Linked DNA regions of Xenopus tropicalis. The protein of the gene in region 4 purifies or fractionates together with the protein of the main gene of each other region. This does not show direct contact. Links are inferred from orthologs where the notes say so. Each region holds a gene or a part of one and is shown on either strand. Other genes may lie near its edges.

Region 1 (4,022 bases), on a different chromosome or scaffold from region 4:
CCATTCAAAGGAGAAAAGGCACAGGTTACTTAGCCGATAACAGACAAACCCCCATTATATGGGGCTTATCTACTAGTTATCTGCTATGTAACCTGTGCCTTTTCTCCTTTTTTCCAGCTTGAATGGCTGCCCCCATAGCTACACAGCAGCTTATTTATATAGTAGCTTTTCTGTAGCAAAAACACCATTTTTTTTTTTTTGCAAAGCAACAGCACATTATATTTTAATTACTTTAAAACAATTTAATTTTTTGATGTTACTGTTCCTTTACATAATCAGTGAGAAGAATGGTACTAGTACTGGTGCTGCAGGTGCACTGCAACCCAAAACATTTGTAACAGTCCACTCAATTCCTAAAGAATTGCAACTTGTGAATTTTCCTGTAATTTTTTATTAAACAAGCAAACAAAAATATTTCCGACATAGGACCCTTCATCAGAATACCCTGCCACTGTACAATAAAACACATAGATAGAATCTTCTGCATAAATCGCTGTGTCTATATATTTATATTTTTCTATCATTGGGAGATGAAAAGGTAAAACTTAAGACTGTTTAGTCCACAGACTTTAGTTCAGTTGCGACATTATTAAAAGGGAAAAATATGTAGATTTACAATGAGTTACATTTTGAACAAATCCGAAAAGAGCCAAAAACATCAAAAGAAATTTATATTTGTATACCAGCCAGAATTAGTCTGGAACGAACGGTCAAATGCAGTATATACTGCAAAAGTTAATGTGTTTTATTTTAACACTAAAACTCTTTTTCAGGTGTGACATTTGTAGTATATAAGGCTTCATTGGATGGAAGCATTGGAGAGGTCCTAAAGCACAGTACTGAATCTACTCACCCTGGTTATTATGATTTATATTAATTACTTCAATATATAATTACTTATTATATATTATTATATTATATTAATTACTTATATATATAAGCTCCTTTGTATATCTGCATGGCTTTCCTCTCATACACCAAAAACATACATACAGGCAGGTTATTGCCTTCTGTCTTAACTGACCACAGTATGTGTAAAGCTGGCCATACACGTGGCGATCTCACGATGTTTCGTACGACCGTCGGTCGCACGAAACATCGTCAGATCCGCCACACACCATTCAGGGCTGAATCGGCAGGTAAGGAGGTAGAAACAATAGGATTTCTACCTCCTTCTGCCGATTCAGCTCTGAAGGGAGAATTTTGGTCAGGCGCCTTCTATGGCGCCCGATCAAAATTTTCTAACTTGGCCGATCGGCGAGCCGACCGATTTCAGCAGCTTCCTGCGATATCGGTCGGCTCGCTGACATGCCATACACGCACCGATTATCGTACGAAACGAGGTTTCGTACGATAATATCGGTGCGTGTATGGCCACCTTTAATGTGACAAGGAACTAAGATTGTAAGGTCCTCTGGGGCAGGGACTGGTGTGAATGAAGTATAATCTCTGTAAAATGCTGTGGAAATGTGTCACAGCTCTATTAATAACATGGGAAAAAACTCTGTGCATTATTTCAGCTATAGGTACTACCAGCCACTTAGGGGACCATAGGGCAGAGGTACACGGGGAGATTAGTCGCCCCACAATGCCATGCCTCCGACTAGAATGTAAATCGCCGGTGGGATGGCATATGCGTCGCTACGACTGTGAGACACTGCAGCGACACCTGCAATTTACTTTCTAGCAGGAGGGATGGCATTGCGGGGAGATTTGTGGCAGGGCGACTAATCTCCTCGTGTACCCCTGCCATTAAGACAGCCAACACTGAGCAGAATAGCACAGTTCAACATTCTTTTTACTAAAACGTTGCGTCTAAACCTTTATGGTTATGTATGGAGTCACATAGACCTGCATTCTCTACTGAAACATGCTTGTTAGAACATGCTCATGAGGTATTTTGCACATCCCACTGGTAACATTACACAGTATATGGCTTTCTATGTACGACATAACTCCTGAGCTATATCATTATAACTGATAAAACCACAAACCTTTATCCGTGGGGTTATGTATTCCCAAGCCAGTCCCCAGAGCCAGACACCTGTCACAGAGACAGACGGGCCCAGGCACTCCCTACCTGCCATATTCCTCTCTGCCAAGTTCACCCCTCTCTCTCTTGTAGCTCCTCTAACCAGGTCCCATTGCCTGTGGCACAAGCAACCCCACCGTCACACACAAATGTAACTCAATGGCTGGAATCGCCTCCCCCCCCCCCAGCCCGCGCTGCCTGTCACACAGTAACACATCCCCTACTCGAGTTTGTTTCTACAGTAAACGTATTGCGTTATTTTATGCAATTCTCCAGGTTACATGATGTAGAGGCTCTCCGGCTGTTTTTGGGCTAGACTTTGGTTGTCAGGGGATTCTGGGAGGTGTAGTCCAACAAAAACTGAAGTGGCAATGGCCGGACATCCAGACTATCAATAAGGCAAAGAAATGTATACTTTATCCCTCACCGGCTTGGGTGGTGTCGCTGAGGTCGTGCTGGACTGCACTCCGCGGAAACTCTCTCAGTTTCCTGCCACTCAGGTTAAGGACCCCGGTCACCGACGCTTCCTCCAATGCCCTCTCCAAAGAACGGTTCCATGCAGCCGGCCCTGCGCCCACTCCGGCCCCCGACGCTGCTCCATGGCTGTTGTGATTAATCCCAGAATAACCAGACACTACCGAGCCCTCGGCCAACACAGCGGCCGCCATAACACCGACTCCAATTTGCGCTTGCGCTGCCAGACTGACAGGAAGCGGGACACATGGGCGGGACTGGTGCTTAAGGCGCATGCGCTCCCGTAGAGGGGGAGGGAGAGATGGGGAGACCGCTCCTCAGAGCTGCGTATGCGCGTTGAGGGGACCAAAAAAGGAATTTCCGTAGAACAGCCAGAAGACAATTAGAATTCGTTTAATAGTATCTTTCCTATTTGCCACTACTTTATTAGTGTAACTGAATTCCTCTTTTTGCGACTGATAATGAAAGTACATTTTCTGTTCACGTTCGTAGGGTAAGCACACGCTTAATAGACCTTGAGGGGTATCACGTAATATCCTCCTAGATATATAAACAATTATTTTTGAAGAAAATATTAGTTCTATGCCAGTTTACCAAAATGTAACAGTTTGGATAACATTTTGAATATGGACGCAAATGTCAATTTTATCTCCCACGTTATCTCCCCAGGAGAAATCATTTTTAAGTATAAATGGCTGGGGTCTTCTAAATAGTTCAACCCGAAGTATGTGTACAGTGCCAGACTGGGGCACCCAGGGCCCATCTCCGCACTACCACATATACTGGCCAATGGTAATCTGGCCAACTGCACACTGGGGTGGTGGGGCCCACTGGGATTTTTCCTGGTGTCCCATAGGTCATTCTGACCCTGTATGTGGCATATAGAGACCAAATGAAAAAGTGCTAATATGCATATGAATTTTAATTGCTGCCAGTTGGGATGTGGCAAATACTGGAACTTTTTTCAAAGGTGTTTATTTATGCATTTGTAACATAAAACATTTGACATTGGTTCTACAAGCTTGTTCTTTTCATGTCAGGATATACAGCCATGGCCCAAATTGTTGGCACCCCAGAAATTTTTCCAGAAAATCAAGTATTTCTCACAGAAAAGTATTGCAGTAACATGTGTTTTGCTATACACATGTTTATTCCCTTTGTGTGTATTGGAACAGAACAAAAAAAAGAGAGGAAAAAAAGCAAATTGGACATAATGTCACACAAAACTGCAAAAATGGGCTGGACTAAATTATTGGCACCCTTAACTTAATATTTGGTTGCACACCCTTTGGAAAAAATAACTGAAATCAGTTGCTTCCCATAACCATCAATAAGCTTCTTACACCTCTCACCGGGAATTTTGGGCCACTCTTTGCAAACTGCTCCAGGTCTCTCTTATTGGAAGAGCGCCTTTTCCCAACTGCAATTTTAAGATCTCTCCACAAATGTTCAATGGGATTTATATCTGGACTCATTGCTGGCCACTTCAGAACTCTCCAGTGCTTTGTTGCCATCC
Region 2 (3,500 bases), on a different chromosome or scaffold from region 4:
GTTACTGGGGGAGCAGAGGATGCAATGTTTAGCTGCTTGGAAGGGGCGGGGAGTGCCCTGTGACATCACCGCTTATGTCATAGCTGCAACAAATGCCGCACAGTAAGCTGCCTGCTCATTGGCTGCAGCCCGGGGTGGTTCCTTCATTATCTGCCAGTACTAGAGGCCAGTTGTGCCTCTGTATTGAGGGTATCACTAGCAAGCTAGGCCACTATCGTCATCATCACCATCAGATGAGGGCCCTGCTCACAAGAGCTTACAATCTAAAGGGTAAGATGTGTGGCCAGCCAGTTGGTTCATATGAGGGGCCCTCATTGGTCTGATTCTGTGCCCAGTCTGAGCTACATCTGACCCCCCGGGATGTACGATAAGGCTCTTTGGAGAGTCCTATTGGTTATTAGCCGGGGGGGGGAGATATTAAATGATGATTAACTCCAATTTGTTTTGCTCCCCCAGGAGGAGGCGCGTCAGACATTAAACCAGCAGAAATCTGGCTCCCGTTCGGATTCCCGCGAGGATGAGATTTCCCCTCCCCCGCACATGAATTCTGTGGTTAAAGGCAGGAGACGTCGGGGGGCCATCAGCGCCGAGGTGTATACGGAGGAGGATGCCGCCTCGTACGTCCGCAAGGTAAAGGCCGCAGGTTCCTGCACCCTAGGGGTACTGTAGTCTAGCACCCCAGCCTGGGGGTACTGTAGTCTAGCACCCCAGCCTTAGGGGTACTGTAGTCTAGCATCCCAGCCTGGGGGTACTGTAGTCTAGCACCCCAGCCTTAGGGGTACTGTAGTCTAGCACCCCAGCCTTAGGGGTACTGTAGTCTAGCATCCCAGCCTGGGGGTACTGTAGTCTAGCACCCCAGCCTGGGGGTACTGTAGTCTAGCACCCCAGCCTTAGGGGTACTGTAGTCTAGCATCCCAGCCTGGGGGTACTGTAGTCTAGCACCCCAGCCTTAGGGGTACTGTAGTCTAGCACCCCAGCCTTAGGGGCACTGTAGTCTAGCACCCCAGCCTTAGGGGTACTGTAGTCTAGCACCCCAGCCTTAGGGGTACTGTAGTCTAGCACCCCAGCCTTAGGGGTACTGTAGTCTAGCACCCCAGCCTTAGGGGTACTGTAGTCTAGCATCCCACCCTAGGGGTACTGTAGTCTGGCACCCCAGCCTAGCTGTAGGGGTACAAGTGCTCTAGCACCTCACCCTAGCTGTAGGGGTACAAGTTCTCTAGCACCTCACCCTAGCTGTAGGGGTACAAGTGCTCTAGCACCTCACCCTAGCTGTAGGGGTACAAGTGCTCTAGCACCTCACCCTAGCTGTAGGGGTACAAGTGCTCTAGCACCTCACCCTAGCTGTAGGGGTACAAGTGCTCTAGCACCTCACCCTAGCTGTAGGGGTACAAGTGCTCTAGCACTCCACCATAGCTCATAGCTTTAGGGGTACAGTACTCTGCCCCTACAGCTATGGTGGGTTGCTAGAGTACTCTACTCCTTTATCTATGGTCTGTGCTAGAGTACTTGTACCCCTACAGATATTTTGGGGTGCTACAGTACTCTAGCACCCACTGGCTGCTGTTGGTGAGTTGTAGAACAACCAACGGCTGGAGGAACAACATAAATGAAGTATTATTCCCTGTATCCCCCCCACCCCTGCATAAAGCGTTCCATCTCCTTCCTGTCCTTTCTCCATCCGTAACAATGGGCTCCACTATTTCCCATGCTGAAGGTTAATTGCAAGGTGACTTGCCCTTTAAATTCCCAGCATTACCCAGTGGTGCCTGCTGATATATAACCGCCGCCTCTTTCCCCTTCAGGTTATCCCTAAAGATTACAAGACTATGGCGGCTCTGGCCAAAGCCATTGAGAAGAACGTGCTGTTTGCCCATCTGGATGATAATGAGAGAAGGTATGAGGGGCCCCGTCCCAGGGTGTGTGGCTCCTACTGACCCCGGCTCTCTGGGACTCTGTATGGGCTATAATATCATTTCCCTATACTGGAACCCAGCGCTATATAGGTGCCGTATCATTGGCCGGGACTCTGTATGGGTTATAATATCATTTCCCTATACTGGAACCCAGCGCTATATAGGTGCCGTATCATTGGCCGGGAATCTGTATGGGCTATAATGTAATTTCCCTATACTGGAACCCAGCGCTATATAGGTGCCGTATCATTGGCCGGGAATCTGTATGGGCTATAATGTAATTTCCCTATACTGGAACCCAGCGCTATATAGGTGCCGTATCATTTGCCGGGACTCTGTATGGGTTATAATATAATTTCCCTATACTGGAACCCAGCGCTATGTAGGTGCCGTATCATTGGCCGGGACTCTGTATGGGCTATAATATCATTTCCCTATACTGGAACCCAGCGCTATATAGGTGCCGTATCATTGGCCGGGACTCTGTATGGGCTATAATATCATTTCTCTATACTGGAACCCAGCGCTATATAGGTGCCGTATCATTGGCCGGGACTCTGTATGGGCTATAATATCATTTCCCTATACTGGAACCCAGCGCTATATAGGTGCCGTATCATTGGCCGGGACTCTGTATGGGCTATAATATAATAAGTCCCAGTGTGTAACTCTCCCCTTTTCCCATCTTGCAGTGATATCTTTGACGCAATGTTCTCGGTTACATACATCGCCGGAGAGACCGTCATACAACAAGGTGAGGGAACCGCCCCAGTGCCAGGGTGCTGGCCCATTGCCTCCGGTACCAGGAGTCCGTGCCTTTCACTGCACACAATCCCCATTGCCTTACAGGAGAAAGAGCGGATTATCAGCTTTGTGTTACAGCTTAGCCGTGTCCCCGGGGGGCGGGGATCCATGTACGGCATAACCTTGTCTGACACCCGTGTCCCCGGGGGGCGGGGATCCATGTACGGCGTAACCTTGTCTGACACCCGTGTCGCCGGGGGGCGGGGATCCATGTACGGCGTAACCTTGTCTGACACCCGTGTCGCCGGGGGGCGGGGATCCATGTACGGCGTAACCTTGTCTGACACCCGTGTCGCCGGGGGGCGGGGATCCATGTACGGCGTAACCTTGTCTGACACCCGTGTCCTTTCTTGTAGGTGACGAAGGCGATAACTTCTATGTGGTTGACCAGGGTGAAATGGATGTAAGTTGTGCCCATATACAGCCTTACACAGAGATGGTAACACAATAGGAGGGTTATGATTGTGCGGCCAAAGGATTGGATCTGAGCCAAATTAAGCAGAGTTCCTGTCACTGAGCGACCCCCCCACACCAGTGTATGGGCAGCTATAAAAAACAAATCAAAGGCGTGATAAAAAAAATGTGCCTTAATTTCCATGTTTTAGGTGTACGTGAACAACGATTGGATGACCAGCATCGGAGAGGGAGGAAGCTTTGGGGAGCTGGCTCTGATTTACGGGACTCCCCGAGCTGCAACTGTGAAAGCCAAAACGAATGTGAAGCTGTGGGGCATAGACCGCGACAGTTACAGGAGAATCCTTATGGTGGGTTAACTTGGCCTTT
Region 3 (3,500 bases), on a different chromosome or scaffold from region 4:
CAGATCACATGTCTGCATGGGCAACTAATACTATTGGGGGTCTGTAACAACTGATCCAAGACCTTTATTAGCAACTAGTCTAATTGCATAAGCCAGCAGCTAGAAGTTGTCTGACCAGGGCAAATTTGAATGCTCTACTGTATGTGTATTAAACCTTCCAGAAGGAACACGAGTTTATCTATATACAATGTTCTGTACTGGTTTAATTCAGGCATCCTACAGCGCCCGTACTAAGACGGGAGATGCTTAGGTAACAGCACCTATCATTACTCAGAGGATGTGGAACAGGAACTAAAAGCTGCCTTTAATTGACGTGCTGGACTTGCCCATTTGAATTGCACATTTCAGGAGGGATTTGTAATTATGAGCTAAAAATAAAGCAGTAAGTGAACAGAAACACTAAGCTCTATGCTTGACTGGGATTTCCGATCCCACCTCCAGCCTTTAAGATTAGATATAAATGCGTCAAAAGAATCCCTAAAACACCTAGAAAAATAACAAGCTGCAAATTGTGTATTTTACGGGATTTACGGGAAGCTGCCGGAATAAAGGAAACGCCAGTATAAAAGCTGATGCATCATCATTAGGTGTTTTGTTTGAAATTTGACAATGTAAATAGCCCACAGCCCAACATTGTGCAAATATGCAAATAGCTGTAATTGTAAGCTTTGTGCTAATTGCAGTCCTACCTACTGACTGCTACTTTCTGTCTGTCCCATAGTGGGGCTTTAGGGGTCACACACAAGGCCTTTCCACTGACCTGCTGTCTTCCACCCTCACTAAAATCACAATGGAATGGATGGCCCCGTCCCCTTCTCAACCTAGAGATTTATTTGGAAATAACCATATTTTTAAAATGCCTTTAGTTGGATCATGGGGGGCACTATTCCATGAAATAAACTGAAGGCCAAATACACAGGCGAGTAGAGCACTAGTTGACTGCTATAAAGGGACTAGTAGATTTAATCAAATAAGTATTTTGGACCATATACTCTCACCAACTTTTAGTATGTTATAATGTACTATTTCTAGCAACTTTGCATTTGGTCTTCATTTATTTTTTTTTATACTTTGAATTATTTGCCTGCTTCACCTACATCTTTCCAGCTTTCACATGGGGGTCACTGACCCCATCAGCCAAAAATAAAAGTTACATTTTATTTCTTATCTATTTAGTTGCTCTTCTATTCATATTCCTGTCTCTCATTCCCACCACTGCCTGGTTGCTAAGGTAAACAAGACCCTAGCAACCAGATAGCTGCTGAAATTCCAAACTAGAGATCTGCTGAACAAAAATCTAAATAACTGAAAAAAAACTACAAAAAATAAAAAAGGAAAACTAACTACAAATTGTCCCAGAATATCAACATCTACATCATGCTAAAAGTTGATATCAGGGAAAACATGCCCTTCAAAAAAAATGAATGAATACATATTTGCACCCAATAACCAATCAACTATTACCTTTTCTAATTTGCCAGAGACTGGGATGAGTTTGGGGGGAGGCCCTCTTATATTCCCATTAAGAGCTCTCTCTTCCCGAATATCTTCAGCATCACTAGAGGGGCTGATTGGTACTCTAGGTTCATGCCATTCCTCTTTAAAGTCCTCGTTGACGTAGACATAATTCCCATTATTTCCAGAGGTAGTAGTAGAGGGTTTCTTTGTAGGAAGCCCATTAAACAGAGGATCCTGTGAGCTGTAATTACTTTTTATAAGCCCCTCTTGCTGCTTAAAACAGTTTGGCATGTTGGTAGGTTTGCGGCACTTGTTGCTCAATTCAGAGGCCTTGCACTGCTTGTCATGGTATGTCCTCCCAGAGATTAAGCTGCTGACGCTTCCCATGGTGTTCTCTGTGACAGGCGACCTGGTGTTTGTATGGCTTTGGCTACCACTGACCTCAGCGTTTTGGTCAATGGATAATGGAAGAGCTTGCAAGGCAGCCATAGTGTAGATAATCTAAATACAGAGGACTGCATAAACCACCTAGAGAAATACACAAGAGAAAGAACACTTAAATATATGGAAGCTTTACAACATTCCCAATGCATTTCTAATCATACTGCTAAATTCATGTTGCATTTCACTTTACTGAAAAAAGACAATAATAAAAGTTATTCCAGTTTAAGTTCCATGACTTCAGTCTACTGCTACATTCCTTCTGTGTATCAGGGGACCCGTGAGTGACCATAAGTGTTTTTATTATTAAGGCAAAAAAGGCTCAGGTACACCTATGCTATTCTATCATGTCCATTTCTAAAAATATAATTTTACATGTATGGAATCACTTTGAAGCCATTGTCTAAAGCAAAGTACAAAGGTTTCGGGCATTCCATCTCACCAACAATACAACCCTGGTACAAATACAGCTGAGCATTTCCTTATCATATTATTTCCTTCCCATACTGCTCAAGCTAAACACTATAGATAAAGCACACAAGGATTCTTTCATGGAAACGTCTGGAGTTCACCCCAAGCAATTAACTGTAGTTATAAACAGAGAATATCGTTCCCAGGGGAAGCAGAGTGTGCGCTTGTTTGTGGAACAGCGGATATTTGCTGATTTAGCAGATTATCAGTGCTTTATTGCTCACAGTTGCAATTAATCAAATTGTTCTGGATTAGTAAATTGTTTTGTGTTAATGAAGAATACTCTATTTGCCAATCTTTGAATAAAGCCAGAGTATATATATTACTCAGGTACTTCAGGTGAATAGCACACAATGGTTTAGGTGGCTAAGCTGTCACGTTACTGCCTGAAACCATTTGTTGGCTGTCGCAGTGACCAATCATGCCGAGTAAAACAACAACTGAGAAGCAGACATGTTATACGACCCAATAAGTAAGAAAATCCATCAGTAAATAACACACAAGCATTTTCTGTGTTACCATTTGTGGTCTTCCTTTAGGGAAGGTCAGTGATGTCCAACTTAAAGGGGGAGTTTACAACTTAAAATTAACATTAATGATGTAGAGAGTGATATTCTCAGAATATTTGCAATTGGTCTTCATTTTTTATTTGTGTTTTTATTATTTAGCTTCTTGTTTAACTCTCCATTTTAGCACATAGATGGGTAACCAGGTGGTGGTTTTAAAACTGGAAAAGCAATAGGAGAGGGGCTGAATAGAAACTTACATAATAAAAAGTAACAAAAAGTATTTTTGCTGCCAGGGAGAGTGACCCCCATTTGAAATCTGGAAAAAGTCAGAAGAAGAAGGCAAATAATTTAAAAACTATATAAAATAAAAGATAAAGACCAATAAAAAAAAGTTGCTAAGAATTGACCATTCTATAACATACTAAAAGTTAACTACCCCTTTAAAAACGATAATCGGTCAAATTCAAGTCACATTTTCAATGGTACAGGCTTATGTAACAGGGCCAACAGGAACATCCAAACACCAAACATGGGGGAGAGTTGGACTCTTCTATTCTTCAGTGGCATAGGGGGGAGCATGTGTGCACCATTCCTGGCTAAGGCACACTGTCATCTAGCAAC
Region 4 (3,500 bases):
CTTTAGATTTATAGAGACTTTGTGGAAGGAAATAACAGCATTTAGCAACACAAATTAAACCATACTAAATGAGCGTTAGTAACCTTAAGAATGCACAGTAAGGAGTTTCCTGAGGTGTGGGTGCTACATTTGGGTGCTAGAGAACAAATCCTCATACCCGAGCTAGAAGATGTGCTAGAGGTGGTTCCTGATGACTGGGACTGCTCCATTGCTGGACTCGTTGATACACTGTTACTCGTGTTTGTACCTTCGTCAGCAGTTTTCTTAAAGAAACTATGTTGCAGAGCATAATAGGGTTGGATACGGGTCTTGGCATCATAATCCAACATCCTTAAAATGAGGTCTTTAAACTTCAAGTAGTCCGCTACAGTATGACCTGATTCCCCGCCTCGGCGGCCACCTGGTCCTCCAGTTTCTACTCCAAGTAGGTTGTGAAGTTTTCGGGTTCCCGGTGGTTTGTACTCCTAGAGTAATAACACAGACTCCCGTTAACAACTTGCTGGCACTGGATATACAGGCACAACAGTATTTGTCTATAAACAAAATAAACAAGCAAATAACTATGGGTTGGTTTAAAAATGGTGGTGCAATGTGATAGGGACCTTAGACTGTAAGCTCCTCTGGGGCAGGGACAGATGGGAATGTGATAGGGACCTTAGATTGTAAGCTCCACTGGGGCAGGGACTGATGGGAATGTGATAGGGACCTTAGATTGTAAGCTCCACTGGGGCAGGGACTGATGGGAATGTGATAGGGACCTTAGATTGTAAGCTCCACTGGGGCAGGGACTGATAGGAATGTGATAGGGACCTTAGATTGTAAGCTCCACTGGGGCAGGGACTGATGGGAATGTGATAGGGACCTTAGATTGTAAGCTCCACTGGGGCAGGGACTGATAGGAATGTGATAGGGACCTTAGATTGTAAGCTCACTGGGGCAGGGACTGATGGGAATGTGATAGGGGCCTTAGATTGTAAGCTCACTGGGGCAGGGACTGATGGGAATGTGATAGGGGCCTTAGATTGTAAGCTCACTGGGGCAGGGACTGATGGGAATGTGATAGGGGCCTTAGATTGTAAGCTCACTGGGGCAGGGACTGATGGGAATGTGATAGGAACCTTAGATTGTAAGCTCACTGGGGCAGGGACTGATGGGAATGTGATAGGGACCTTAGCTTGTAAGTTCCACTGGGGCAGGGACTGATGGGAACTGAGTGCTAAGCTGTATACATATAATACAACCCAGTGTATCTAGTGACAGTTTTATACATGTATATTGACTATACAGAAAGAGCAGGGACTGCACTGTATAACCAAATGTGCCTTTTGGGCTTAAACCTCATTAGAAACATGCAAAGCCGTTGATTCCTTTTCCATTCCATAGAATTTAGCAAATTACCTTTTTTCCATCTTTGGTCTTCTTTAAGTTCCAAGTGCCTTCTGGCATCTTCTCAAAGAACTTTCTAGCTTTTGGTGCTTGGTCAAGGATGTGAGCAGGTGGTATTCCTAAAACTTCCACAATTTTACTCATTTGATCAACCTACCAAGCGACAAAAGCAAAGTCAGTCGAGGCAGAACCCACACATGATGAAGTGACCCATTACAATTATGGGGCACCATAAAACAAATATGCCATCATCAAGTTATTTATATTGGGTATCCCATATATGTGACTGTCTGTGGGAAGACCCGAATAGGGCACAGAATTGCAAACTGTGGGGAGGACTAAACTTGGGAGGCAGTAGCCTTATAGGTGGCCATAAAGGCCCAGATTTAGTGGGGACTATTCTAAGCATACTGTAAGCATCTAAACTCATTTGGCTTTTAAAGGAAAACTAAAGCTTAAATAAAGAAGGAAATATTGTACATTATGTTTGGGGGGTTGTGTACCAGCCCCAGGCCCCCACAGCCCTTTAGCAGGGAAGATCTTTGCTCCTTAAGATTGCCCCAGTAGCCCCCCATCTCCTTTTCTGCCGATTCCCTGCCCATACTCTGTGCTGCTGGCACTTACCTGAGCTTAGGGGCCCACTCACTATATACTGTATATATAGAATATAAATGTCACAGTATAACCTGAGCTTAGGGGCCCACTCACTATATACTGTATATATACACTATAAATGTCACAGTATAACCTGAGCTTAGGGGCCCACTCACTATATACTGTATATATAGAATATAAATGTCACAGTATAACCTGAGCTTAGGGGCCCACTCACTATATACTGTATATATACACTATAAATGTCACAGTATAACCTGAGCTTAGGGGCCCACTCACTATATACTGTATATATACAATATAAATGTCACAGTATAACCTGAGCTTAGGGGCCCACTCACTATATACTGTATATATACAATATAAATGTCACAGTATAACCTGAGCTTAGGGACCCACTCACTATATACTGTATATATAGAATATAAATGTCACAGTATAACCTGAGCTTAGGGGCCCACTCACTATATACTGTATATATAGAATATAAATATCACAGTATAACCTGAGCTTAGGGGCCCACTCACTATATACTGTATATACCAAGTATAAATGTCACAATATAAGGCTGATTAGTAATTAATACAGATAATTACTACATGGCAGCTCAGAAACCAGTGCAGCTAGCGTGAGAATGTAATAATCACTGCTGAGCCACTGAGTTTTTCCCCTGCTGGTTGGTACTAAATCAGCCGCTCTAGAGCCAAAATTCGGATTTCCTGAATTGAAATTTCAGCTCTTCTGGTGCAGAGAGTGCTATTGTGCTGTCTGCACTAGCAACGCGGCCCCCTCCAGCGCAAAAAAACTAAATTCAGAGTGGCAAGGTGGGGGGCATTCCCTAGGCCACCTCAGGGAAGTAAGTAATATGTAGCACACCACCTATGGGTGGGCGATATCGGGGGAATTTAGGCTAATTCAATCGTTTGGCCCTGGGGCCAGCTCAATGCCGGACTCTGGGCGCTCCACCCCAACCCTGGATCGTGGGCAAAAGTAAATGGAACGTGACACAGCACACAGGGGTGGGGGGTGCACGCAGTGGGTGGGTATAGGCATGCAGACTTTGCAACTGGGTGAGGGGCCAGTGAGGTGGCAGCCCTTGTCTCAGACACCCCATTCCATAAGTGAGCATGACAGCATAAAAGTGATCTACCAATTTAAATCCATGGCGCATTACAAAAGGAAAATAAAAGTGTTGCTACTGCCTTACCTCATTGGCTCCACTGAAGAGGGGCTCCCCAGTGTGCATTTCTACCAAAATGCAGCCAAGGGACCACATGTCAATTGCAAGGTCATAAGGCATTCCTAGTAAAACCTCAGGAGACCGGTAGAAGCGACTCTGAATATACTGGTATATCTAGGGACAAGAAACAAGGTATAAGCCGATTGGCTTCCGTGGCCTCGGTTTCGTGGGAACAAGAGCCAATCCTTACCCTCTGCCCTAGCTGGCACGAGCTTCCAAAGTCCACAATCTTAATGGCGCTTCGTTTTGGGTTACAAAG
Region 5 (3,500 bases), on a different chromosome or scaffold from region 4:
ATAATAAATATGTGTACTTTTCCCACCCTCACATTAGAAATGAAAGTAAATTATCTCAGACATAATGTTAAACTCCCTGGCTCTTATGAAGAGTACTGGTTTCACAGGGTACAGATACACAGTGAGATTACATTACTGTATTATGTTTAAACATATAAAGCTCAGTACTGCAAGTTAGCTTGCACCGTGCTGATTGTATCTGACTTGAGACTTGTTTGCCTCAACACAGTTTTATTACACGGTAAATGCATTAAATCGATATTTACACTCCAAGCACAATGCCAAATAGCAATATTCTGGGTGTTTTCCATATTAGCAGGCAACAAAATGCTTACAGTCATTCCAGATTTCAAGTGCCATTTCAGTGACAATAGCCTGGAATTGTGTGTAGCTTCTGCTGAGCTAGAAATCACTTAGCTGTCAAAACACCTTAATGTACCCCCTCTGTTATTGGCCTAAGGGTAATGGCATATATGCTGGTTTTCACTATCACTGCTACATTTATATATTGCTATCCACTGATATAACTGTCAAATGCCAACATTTGTCCTGCACAGGTGGTACACAACATTTTAGGGTGCTCCCCAGTCAAGCTGCAGTGCATCCCATTTACTTTAGGAAATGAGCAGTGCACTATGGCCCTAAAAAGTATGAAACACAAAAAAATCTAAATAAAAGCAGATAATTGTGCCCGAGTACATATGTATAACCAAATCATGGTGATACAAACACAGTCAATTAAATTGTTATTTTTTCTTAGCCTGTAGAAATTCCTGATGGGAGAAGAGCACCAGTACCTTCCACCTGTCGGAGTAGCAGCACCCGCAGCATTGACACACAGACTCCCTCAGTTCATGAACGAAGCAGCAGCTGCAGCAGCAATCATTCCCCTTGTGCTTCTCCATCTTGCCCTCATGAGTCACAGGAAGGAAGTCCATGCTCAGCGGATGATCTGCTATTTGACCGAGATAAAGGTATATTTTTATAGGATATCAACTGAATTACTGCATAAGAGGCTTTTGTTTGGAAATTGGTATTTCTGGTGTCTTTGGTATAATGATAGAACTGAAAATTACAAACCGCAGATTCACAGAATGACCTGTGCCTAGAATAACTGCCCTTGCACCTTTCAGCCTGAGCTGGAAACAGCAAATCCATCCCTCCATTATTAACATTTCTTACCATGCTTTTGTCTTACAAACATCTTCCATAAATTGCTTGGAAAACCTTTTTGTTTTTGTTTTATATAAAAGAAAAAAATGTTATGCATGAAGCAGCATTTTATATTTAGGTACATATATTATACCTATTTGTAAACAGATTGTAGAATTCCTGAAGGCCGCTCTGTAAATGTTGGTCCACATTAATTTTTTATATAGCGAGGACACCTTCTGCAGAAAATGTGTCGTGTTTTGTGTGAATGTGTAGTATTTTTGCTTGCAGTACCACTTCTCATCCAGATAAAACTTTCCCCTATACTTTGCAGATCCAGGGTGTGTGTTCTGCCTGTTGTGTTAACATACAAGATTATTGTTTAATCGTTTGGTGCAAAGGGAGGATAGAAAATCTAGCAGAAAAAAACATCCTTAGTCCTCCCACTCTCCATCTTGCCTACCCCAGTTACTCCACTTTCACTATCTGATCTCTCCTTTTTTTTTTTCCTCCCTGCACCAATACACATGCTGAGTGCAAAACAAACTCCCACTCATAATAACTTACAGATTATAGACGTAGCAGACATGAGGGTTTTTGGCTTTGTTTGTCCTCTTTTACTGATTTTACTTTCTTATCTCCTGTCCTTTTAGGGCTCTGGCACACGGGGACATTAGTCGCCCGCGACTAATCTCCCCGAAATGCCATCCCACCGGCGAAAATATTGATCGCCAGTGGGATGGCATACGCGCCGCCGCAAAAGTTTCCTCTCAAGGCAATGACATCCCACCGGCGACTTACATTTTCGCCAGTGGGATGGCATTTCGGGGAGATATGTCGCGGGCGACTAATCTCCCCATGTGCCAGAGCCCTTAGGGAACAAAGCACTTAATTAGAAGCAGAGTACAGCTTGCCTTTCATATGAGAGAGTGGATGTAGATGACATCTTATACAACATGTCGTCCCTACGATTGATGGCATTCATTCACTTCATAACATGCATGGTCTCTCCCTAGTGACGATTCGTTTAGCTGCATTGCAAGGAGGCTGTCATTGGCCGCCCTTTAACATGTCTTCTTGTCGATGTACCATCTTAAGTCATATTTATTAAGAGATTATGGGGCTTACTAAATTCTTGACACTGGGTAGATGTGAACCAGGGCTATTGACGAGTGCCATTGGGCGTGAAAAAAGATACACGGTAAAAAAAAAAGGTGCATGTTAGCTGAGATAAAATGCCCACTGATCACAAATTTTTACCATTTTGCAAATTTTTTAGTGAAGTGAAATAGTACAGATTACTACCCAGAGAATGTGTGGAACTGTAGGTCCCTGAATGGAATGTGGGTTATCAGCGTTCTGAACCAGATAGTGTATAGACAGCCTGTCTAAAGAAGTTTAACGTTGCTAAATAGCAGTAGTTGTACACGGCACAGTATTAATTATAATAATTAAAACATAATTCAATTAAAAAAAAAAAAAGTAAACAAATTGACATCAAATTGTCTTTACCAGCATGTCACCGTATAAAGTAGCAGTGCTTTAGGGCAGCCTGGGTTTGATTTCAGAGATGAAATGGACAGAAATGATGCATGGATTAAGTACATGTGTTATGGGTGGGTATTGTAGTGGAAACCTGTATTTTTGAAATTATTAATGGCCAGGGACATCAGCTGATGTATAAAAGCATTAAAGGACATGTAAAGGATGTAACTTAGTATAGACAAGTTGCTTTTGGTAAGTATAAGTCACATCACCTAATCCCAGGCAGTGCTGTGAGTCAGATCATTAGAACCTTGAGTGTCACTGCAGCTTTGGCATGAGCATAGCAAGTAGAATTGCAGTAGCAAACTGAGCTGTGCAGTACACGCCAGCGAGCCTCTGGTTTGACAGTGATACAGTATCTCTGTGAGAATTTCTGTGTTCCTGCATTTTTCTATGACATTATAGCATAGCCAAGCACAGGGCAGGCAAGATGCAATCACAGGTATGATAGATGATAGGTGTAATGTTCTTATCAAGGGGATCCGAGCTCTAGGAAAATGCTACTGCTGATTTTACATCCCTGCCCACCACACATGCATCTGATTTGATAAAGCCTGTTAACATTCTATAATTCAGAAATAAAATCTTTTTGGATTTATTTATCTCCAGCTTTGGTCAGATATTTAATCGCAAGGGTACTATTTGAACTACTGCTTTTAGATATCAAGATAACAGAAGGTGTATGGGCACTGCAGACTTAAAGCAAGACTTTTCTTATAGTTATATTTCGGGTATTTTTAACAATACATGTGTTTCGGTGAGTAGTGAGTCAAGAGACATCACTAAATATATGTAAGAGCATA
Region 6 (3,500 bases), on a different chromosome or scaffold from region 4:
AGTTAGGGGGGGATTTGGGGTGAGTGCTTATTTGTGCCCTGGGTACCCCTGGAACTATAGCAGGGTGACTGTTACCCCAATGTTTCTATATATCTGTAACCTTGTTATGGGCTAAGGGGGCCCAGCCTGAAGGCCAGTTAGGGGGGGATTTGGGGTGAGTGCTTATTTGTGCCCTGGGTACCCCTGGAACTATAGCGGGGTGACTGTTACCCCAATGTTTCTATATATCTGTAACCTTGTTATGGGCTAAGGGGGCCCAGCCTAAAGGCCAGTTGGGGGGGATTTGGGGTGAGTGCTTATTTGTGCCCTGGGTACCCCTGGAACTATAGCAGGGTGACTGTTACCCCAATGTTTCTATATATCTGTAACCTTGTTATGGGCTAAGGGGGTCCAGCCTGAAGGCCAGTTAGGGGGGGATTTGGGGTGAGTGCTTATTTGTGCCCTGGGTACCCCTGGAACTATAGCGGGGTGACTGTTACCCCAATGTTTCTATATATCTGTAACCTTGTTATGGGCTAAGGGGGTCCAGCCTGAAGGCCAGTTAGGGGGGGATTTGGGGTGAGTGCTTATTTGTGCCCTGGGTACCCCTGGAACTATAGCGGGGTGACTGTTACCCCAATGTTTCTATATATCTGTAACCTTGTTATGGGCTAAGGGGGCCCAGCCTGAAGGCCAGTTAGGGGGGGATTTGGGGTGAGTGCTTATTTGTGCCCTGGGTACCCCTGGAACTATAGCGGGGTGACTGTTACCCCAATGTTTCTATATATCTGTAACCTTGTTATGGGCTAAGGGGGTCCAGCCTGAAGGCCAGTTAGGGGGGGATTTGGGGTGAGTGCTTATTTGTGCCCTGGGTACCCCTGGAACTATAGCAGGGTGACTGTTACCCCAATGTTTCTATATATCTGTAACCTTGTTATGGGCTAAGGGGGCCCAGCCTGAAGGCCAGTTAGGGGGGGATTTGGGGTGAGTGCTTATTTGTGCCCTGGGTACCCCTGGAACTATAGCGGGGTGACTGTTACCCCAATGTTTCTATATATCTGTAACCTTGTTATGGGCTAAGGGGGCCCAGCCTAAAGGCCAGTTGGGGGGGATTTGGGGTGAGTGCTTATTTGTGCCCTGGGTACCCCTGGAACTATAGCAGGGTGACTGTTACCCCAATGTTTCTATATATCTGTAACCTTGTTATGGGCTAAGGGGGTCCAGCCTGAAGGCCAGTTAGGGGGGGATTTGGGGTGAGTGCTTATTTGTGCCCTGGGTACCCCTGGAACTATAGCGGGGTGACTGTTACCCCAATGTTTCTATATATCTGTAACCTTGTTATGGGCTAAGGGGTTCCAGCCTGAAGGCCAGTTAGGGGGGGATTTGGGGTGAGTGCTTATTTGTGCCCTGGGTACCCCTGGAACTATAGCGGGGTGACTGTTACCCCAATGTTTCTATATATCTGTAACCTTGTTATGGGCTAAGGGGGTCCAGCCTGAAGGCCAATTAGGGGGGGATTTGGGGTGAGTGCTTATTTGTGCCCTGGGTACCCCTGGAACTATAGCGGGGTGACTGTTACCCCAATGTTTCTATATATCTGTAACCTTGTTATGGGCTAAGGGGGCCCAGCCTGAAGGCCATTTAGGGGGGGATTTTGTACCCCTATATATCTGTAACCTTTCCCGAGCCTAGTTGCAGTTACCTGTGTGGCTGGGCAGATTGCTTTGCTAAGTACCAATTCCTGGTCACATCCTGGTTGCACTATGGGAAATACCCACTCCTGTAGCTCATATTGTTCCTTTTATCATGTTTCCAGCCGCTCATTCATTCACCTGAAATCCATTTGGCAGGGGGAAACCATATTATTTGCCCGTCTTTCAGATCCGAGGTGACACCCGGGGGTTATAGTGTAGGCACTAGTACTACCATGTCTTTACCGTGGGAGCCAGATGAAGCCGGGGAGACGTCTCTGGGACCCCAGCCACTAGATGCCTTTATATATTTATCCTTTATGTACAACGTGGGGGTTGTTATTACCTGCTCTGTAGATCACAATGGATTCTGACAGAGTCTCTTTCTCTCTCTCTCTCTGCAGTTTCATTGATCCTGGAGTTTTGTTTCCGGAGACAGAGAGTCGCCAGTTAAGGACGGAGATGCAGCCCCCTCCCCAAGCTGGGCCTCCAGGCATGGGCGGGCCCCCTCGCATGGGAATGGGCAATAATGCCTACTGGCGCAAAAGGGGACCCAATCCTGTATCATCCGCTTCTACATCGGTGCAGCCAGTGACCGACCCTTTTGCCTTTGGCCGGATGACCCCACAAAGTATGGCGCAGGGCAGTGCCCCGACAGGAAACCCACTGATGGCACCGAGTCCGTCCCCGTCGATGTACCCTCAGCCCGTTCCTGTACACGGATCAGGGGCCGGAGACCAAGGGCATGTGTCTCCCCCATCACTAGTAGGAGCCGTACCACAGCCCGTTGCTAGGGGTGAGATGTATACCAGTGTATCTGCCCCGTCGGCAGCAAGCGCCCCTTTTACCAACTACCCAGCAGCCGCGCCTATTGCCCAGCCCGGACTTGGTAACATGCAGACTTATCAGAATACGGCGAGTGGACTTGAAAACGCCTTTGTGCCGGTGCAAAGCAGGGCCCAGTCAGCCCAAGGCTTATCTACTGCCCCCTACTTTGCCCCTGCACCGTCTCAGCCAACTAGCGCTCCCTGGGGGTCCTTACCAAATGCACCTCCTGTCTCCAATCAGAACTTCCCCCTTCCAGTTCAGCAACAATCCCATAATTCTCCTTATTACTCCCCCCCTTATTTAGAAGTCTCTAATCTGGCACCTCAGGCAAGCGAAACTGGGGCACAGCCAGCACAACAGAGGGCAGCGCCAGGGTACTACCCACCTACCAGCGTCTCCAATCCTACCTTTCAGCACAGCAGTTCACAACCCCCCAGTTTAAACCCGACAGACTATATGCATGGGCAGAATCCTGAGCAGAACTGGTTCAACCAACCATACAAGGATCAGCGGCACCCACCTCTGCCAAGTTCTAACCCGGTACAATACCCGCCTCCGCAGCAGCCCGAGCCCCACCAGGAGGTGCCTAGTGCGTCTGGTCGAGTCTCAACCAATGCAGACTCTGGTACTATATCAATGTTTTTTAAAGGGGAAGAAGAAGAAAATGTGGAAATCGTTTCTTCCGACCAGCAGAACGCATCTATTAAAGCGGACCTTGGTTCTTCTCATTACCAGAACGCCGGATATCAAGGTGTGTCTTCTCTACTGCCGCAGCCGACAGTCAGCAGTGGCATTCCGGCAATGACACCGATCACTTTAGCGTCTGGCGTTCCCCACGTCCCCTCATCTGCCGGCAATGCCACCCATCCGCATTCAGCTTGGAGGCAGGACACCCTTCCTCTTCGCGATAATACGGCTAAACCCAGGGAGATGCCCTACGACAACGTTGAAAACATCGAGTGTGTTCAGAACCAGGAAGTTCTCCCCAACGAGCCCAATCAT
Region 7 (4,216 bases), on a different chromosome or scaffold from region 4:
CTACTTACTAATATTTTCTAAATGTGCTAAATGTATAGGCTCTGAATTCTACTAGTAGCAAAGTTAAAAAAAGAACACAGGATCTTAAGAGGACATAAATCTACCATAGCAATGCTGCTCTAATACAAATTCCAACAACCACCAGTATATTATCAACCACAACAAGAGCTATGGTCCAGCAACCACAAGAGGTTTAATTCTTAAAGCAACACTGCACAGTGCACAAGAAAACTTCCTTAGCACAAGCAGCTCTACTTCTTCAAGATCTTACAATGTGAAATGTGCCTGCTGTGTTTACAACTGACTCTACTTCCTTATGTAGTCCGTGTTACAGTGGCATCTTCTATATTAAGGGACGATTTATAGTCAGCAGTAACCGGACCACCAGAACATTTTAACAAGTTTAAGTTATATTACATCATTCATGGTTGAACTGGTTCTAGGGCAGACCATGTACTGTAAAAAGTAAACTAGATTACGGAGTTTACATTAGTGAATTATGATCACAGAGTTCATATTTTATTACTGCCTTGATGAGTTTTAAATAAATGCACCATAACTAGTATAGTGGCAATAATATTTGTAAACCTACAGTGTAATACTGACAGGCTTGGGGTGCCAGAGAATCAGTTTTAGGGGTAGGTCTATTTCCTTTATGATGGTTTAGATAAGCTGGATAGAACATATAATTTCAGAATCTGGGTTTTTCTTACAAACTCACTGATTTTAAACACTGCATTTAGCACTTTCTACAAGAATAGTTTGCTGATATATATAGAAATTCCTTGACTTCTCAAGTTTAAAAATGCAGTATGGATATGGAATGGAAGCATGGAAGATTGATGGAACACCTTACCAGACTTATACTGAAAGACTTGCATTTTAGATCCTCCAGACTTTGTTTCTGCAATTGTTCCGTAATCATTGAGATCATGATGCCCAGGTCTGGCTGTTCATTTGTGTTTTCAGTAACGGTTATAGCACATGATGGCCCATTAAGTGCCAGGATCTATTGGGCCTGACCCAAGTGGAAGCTCAGATTGACCCCATCACTCCATCCTGCATGAGCCAAATACACAATCAGTCAACAGCTTTATAATTCTACACATTTAAAATCAATCACTAACAATCAGTAGCAACAAGAAATATTCTTGGAAGATGCATGTATTTTGTTGTAGCAATTTAGTCCAGAAACGTAACTGATAGCCAAGATGTCTAATTTACCTAAAAGTAATATCTGGACTGTAAACCAGCAGATCAGCAATGTCCAGCTTGTATCTTTCTTCCCCCTCTGAAGTACAGTTCCTAGCACCACCAGAGATACATCTGGCTGTTAGGAAAGCCACGATTGTAGTTAAACAAGAGTTGGAAGGCTGCAAATTGGACACCCCGTCAATGGATATTTTTGAGGCCCCATAATGTGTCAAATGTGTTCTGAATAAAACTTGGACATCATTTGCTTTTGATTCTTAACAAAATACAAGTTGGTTTATGAATAATTTCATTCATTCATGTACCGTGACCTGCTACTGACAAACTACCCATTCGCAAAATACATATATTGTCTGTGTATGTTATCCATGCCTCCAGATACCTGAACAAATAGAAAAATTGCACTGTTTAAGCCAAATGATTTTAGATTGCAAGCTCTACAGAGATGGGCCTTCTTTGCCTCCTGCATTGATCAGTATTTGTATGGAATCTGCATATTTGATGTATACACCCATCTACTATACAGGGCTACGTAATATGTTGGCAGTTTACACATTTCAATAATTCAATAATCATTTTACATTTTTGATCACAAGGTTTAGATCACCAAGACATAGGCCTTAGAAGCCAGGCAAACACTCAGTGGCAGAGCAGCATTAAAAATGTCTGTTTTCCAATGGGTACATTGCAAATATTAGTAAATGGCACCGGCAGTAGGTTTATTTAAAACAGAATTATCTGAGAACTACGCGAATGCTGTAGAAAGCTGACATGTTGTGTTTGAAGGAGGATGGGGAAATGTATGTAACCCATTTACACCAAGGTAGTTGGTTGCCTGCTCAGTAACATATTATTGGGCAAAACCGAGCAGCTACGCTGAGGGCAGCAGTGGGCCCCCCACCCTGTGACTGCATTTCTAAGTGTGGAAAATGAAGAGTTAACGGCTTGTTTATCTCCCTCCTCAGGAGATGGCCTGACCAGCGCCTACAAAAGGGGCCGCATCCCGTACCGCCCGATTTCCAGAGGCCTCGCTTTTCTAACAACCTCCCCGTCACCTTCCCGCTACCACCCCACCTGTTCTTCTTCAATTACCTGTTTCAGCAACGACCCTCCCAGCGACCCGGAGCAGCTCTGAGCCAGCAGCGGCCCTGCAGCGCCCTTAAATACCACCCAGAATATACCACTCAAATAGGGGAAGCTTGCTGTGTACAGCATTACAATTTGAGATGTGAAATTCACAATACCCGGTTTCTATAAGCCGATTTAATTATAAATGATTCCTACTTCCCTTACATTCAGAGATACAAGCACGGAGATGACGGTCAATGGATTTGCAGCATCCCGGAGTCGGCCCAATATCCCTCTCAGGTGAATGAGCTGTCCCGTCCCCATTGCGGGATAAACCATGAAGCTTTATAGACAGGGCAAATAGCGGTACACCTACCGACTACCGGTGAGGCGGATGACCTGTAAGCATCAGTACCAGTTCTTCCAAAGGTAATACTGTGTGCAAAACGCCTAATCACACCTTGTGGCCAGAGGCGCTCTAAGCGTGGGCGGTTCGCCGTAGCAGAAGCCACTCTTTCGCTCCCCCCACACCGGAGAGCTCATGCGAAAGCAAAGGTTGCTGGAATATGTAGTTTCCAGGCGTTTGAACAGTGCAGAGAGTATGCGGTTTTTACTGCTGTCTAGGAACTTGTAATCTGGGTTGTTAGTGGCCCTATATTTCAGAGGACGGTCACCCCTTAACTACATTCAGAGACAAACCTTGTTTCTGTGGTGTACTGCTTATTATTAGGGCCCCATCGCTCGGTATGGACGATCTGGTAAGTCAGGACCTATGTAAGGGGGAAAAGTTTATAGAATGCTGCGGAAACAACTACAATTTAGAACCAATGTTACGAATGTTAAGCTTTACAAAAGCACCAGATTAAAAAATTACATTAAGTATATTCAAAATAGAAAAAACCTGATATCTTCAGCCAAAGCTTTCTGACAAGAGGGAACATATCCTGGGAGCAGCTGCTAAGGTACCAGCATGCTTTGCATGAGAATTACATCACATTACAATTTTATAAAACTATTGTTTATAATTGTCACTGCTTAAAGCTGGCCACATGTAGTGATTTTCGATCAACAGATGGTCGCATGAAAGATCATTCCAACCCTCCACTGATGAATCGTCAGATATGGAGGTAGAAACAATAGGATTACTACCTCCTTCTGCCGATTCAGCCCTAAACAAATGGTGCCCAATCAAAATCTTTTAACCTGCCCAATCGGCAAGTCGATATCCTCAGCCTTCTGCGATATCGGTCACCTCACCGAGTTGCCATACACGCATCGAATATCGTACGAAACAAGGTTTTGTACAATATTATCGGTGTGTGTATGACCAGATTAACATAAATGGCAAGAAATATTTTATAGCTACGGGAGTAAATTACTCCTTCCTTTCGCTGAAGAATAGTAATAGCACACATATTTTTTGCTGCTCTGGGGTGGGGGAACAAAACTCTAAATCCCCCCGATAAATGGGATCCAACACGGTGCTTAATCTGCTCAAGACACTGCAAACAATAGTCATCTGCCATTAGAAAGGAAGAGGCTCATTTAATGTCCCTTCTTAGCTTTTGTGCTTCCATAAATTGAGGCCCACATGCTTGACATATTGTGGTGCACACAAGTGTAGAAACCAAAAGTTTTCAGTTCTGACACAAGCACGCCGTTTTTAAAAATACACACGCTTTGTTTTACCACACGAAAAGAAAAAGTTGTAAAAGCTAGCATTTTACAGAACTAGTTAAAAATGTACATAGGCAGGGGAAGTGGGGGAAAAAAAATAATTTTAGTAGCAGCCCAATAAACCAGATTTGGGGTGGGGGAGGGAGGGCCATTTGCTTTGGTACTTATTGAAAGACAGCCGAGCTGCAGAAGTTATGCAGCTTTTCATAAATGCTTATGTAAAAAATTGATGAGTACAAAAAAAGTTACAATAAAAATA

The links.
Region 1: the proteins of dyrk1a (region 4) and lrch3 purify together in Homo sapiens (affinity purification with mass spectrometry; 3 studies listed by BioGRID and IntAct, counting the BioPlex papers as one, with this or other methods). This does not show direct contact. The link is inferred for Xenopus tropicalis from reciprocal best matches to the Homo sapiens genes DYRK1A and LRCH3.
Region 2: the proteins of dyrk1a (region 4) and prkar1a purify together in Homo sapiens (affinity purification with mass spectrometry; 6 studies listed by BioGRID and IntAct, with this or other methods). This does not show direct contact. The link is inferred for Xenopus tropicalis from reciprocal best matches to the Homo sapiens genes DYRK1A and PRKAR1A.
Region 3: the proteins of dyrk1a (region 4) and lzts2 purify together in Homo sapiens (affinity purification with mass spectrometry; 8 studies listed by BioGRID and IntAct, counting the BioPlex papers as one, with this or other methods). This does not show direct contact. The link is inferred for Xenopus tropicalis from reciprocal best matches to the Homo sapiens genes DYRK1A and LZTS2.
Region 5: the proteins of dyrk1a (region 4) and glcci1 purify together in Homo sapiens (affinity purification with mass spectrometry; 8 studies listed by BioGRID and IntAct, with this or other methods). This does not show direct contact. The link is inferred for Xenopus tropicalis from reciprocal best matches to the Homo sapiens genes DYRK1A and GLCCI1.
Region 6: the proteins of dyrk1a (region 4) and sec16a purify together in Homo sapiens (affinity purification with mass spectrometry, with the first as the bait; 3 studies listed by BioGRID). This does not show direct contact. The link is inferred for Xenopus tropicalis from reciprocal best matches to the Homo sapiens genes DYRK1A and SEC16A.
Region 7: the proteins of dyrk1a (region 4) and fam53c purify together in Homo sapiens (affinity purification with mass spectrometry; 8 studies listed by BioGRID and IntAct, counting the BioPlex papers as one, with this or other methods). This does not show direct contact. The link is inferred for Xenopus tropicalis from reciprocal best matches to the Homo sapiens genes DYRK1A and FAM53C.

Annotation. Positions count from the first base shown.
Region 1 is NC_030681.2:100,436,127-100,440,148, reverse strand, and holds the start of lrch3 (DISP complex protein LRCH3), read right to left. Parts: upstream 2,801-4,022; 5' UTR 2,782-2,800; coding exon 2,460-2,781; intron 1-2,459. UniProt on the Homo sapiens protein: As part of the DISP complex, may regulate the association of septins with actin and thereby regulate the actin cytoskeleton.
Region 2 is NC_030686.2:50,524,461-50,527,960, reverse strand, and holds part of prkar1a (cAMP-dependent protein kinase type I-alpha regulatory subunit), read left to right. Parts: intron 1-456; coding exon 457-630; intron 631-1,802; coding exon 1,803-1,894; intron 1,895-2,605; coding exon 2,606-2,667; intron 2,668-3,073; coding exon 3,074-3,120; intron 3,121-3,322; coding exon 3,323-3,481; intron 3,482-3,500. UniProt on the Homo sapiens protein: Regulatory subunit of the cAMP-dependent protein kinases involved in cAMP signaling in cells.
Region 3 is NC_030683.2:29,786,038-29,789,537, reverse strand, and holds part of lzts2 (leucine zipper putative tumor suppressor 2 homolog), read right to left. Parts: intron 1,987-3,500; 5' UTR 1,948-1,986; coding exon 1,465-1,947; intron 1-1,464. UniProt on the Homo sapiens protein: Negative regulator of katanin-mediated microtubule severing and release from the centrosome. Required for central spindle formation and the completion of cytokinesis.
Region 4 is NC_030678.2:12,501,150-12,504,649, forward strand, and holds part of dyrk1a (dual specificity tyrosine-phosphorylation-regulated kinase 1A), read right to left. Parts: coding exon 3,432-3,500; intron 3,356-3,431; coding exon 3,209-3,355; intron 1,540-3,208; coding exon 1,399-1,539; intron 465-1,398; coding exon 158-464; intron 1-157. UniProt on the Homo sapiens protein: Dual-specificity kinase which possesses both serine/threonine and tyrosine kinase activities. Exhibits a substrate preference for proline at position P+1 and arginine at position P-3.
Region 5 is NC_030682.2:34,486,547-34,490,046, forward strand, and holds part of glcci1 (glucocorticoid-induced transcript 1 protein), read left to right. Parts: intron 1-760; coding exon 761-974; intron 975-3,500.
Region 6 is NC_030684.2:6,549,404-6,552,903, reverse strand, and holds part of sec16a (protein transport protein Sec16A), read left to right. Parts: intron 1-2,074; 5' UTR 2,075-2,132; coding exon 2,133-3,500. UniProt on the Homo sapiens protein: Acts as a molecular scaffold that plays a key role in the organization of the endoplasmic reticulum exit sites (ERES), also known as transitional endoplasmic reticulum (tER).
Region 7 is NC_030679.2:48,027,591-48,031,806, reverse strand, and holds the start of fam53c (protein FAM53C), read right to left. Parts: upstream 2,801-4,216; 5' UTR 2,657-2,800; intron 2,615-2,656; exon of another isoform or gene 2,506-2,614; intron 2,438-2,505; exon of another isoform or gene 2,305-2,437; intron 1,060-2,304; 5' UTR 935-1,059; coding exon 857-934; intron 1-856.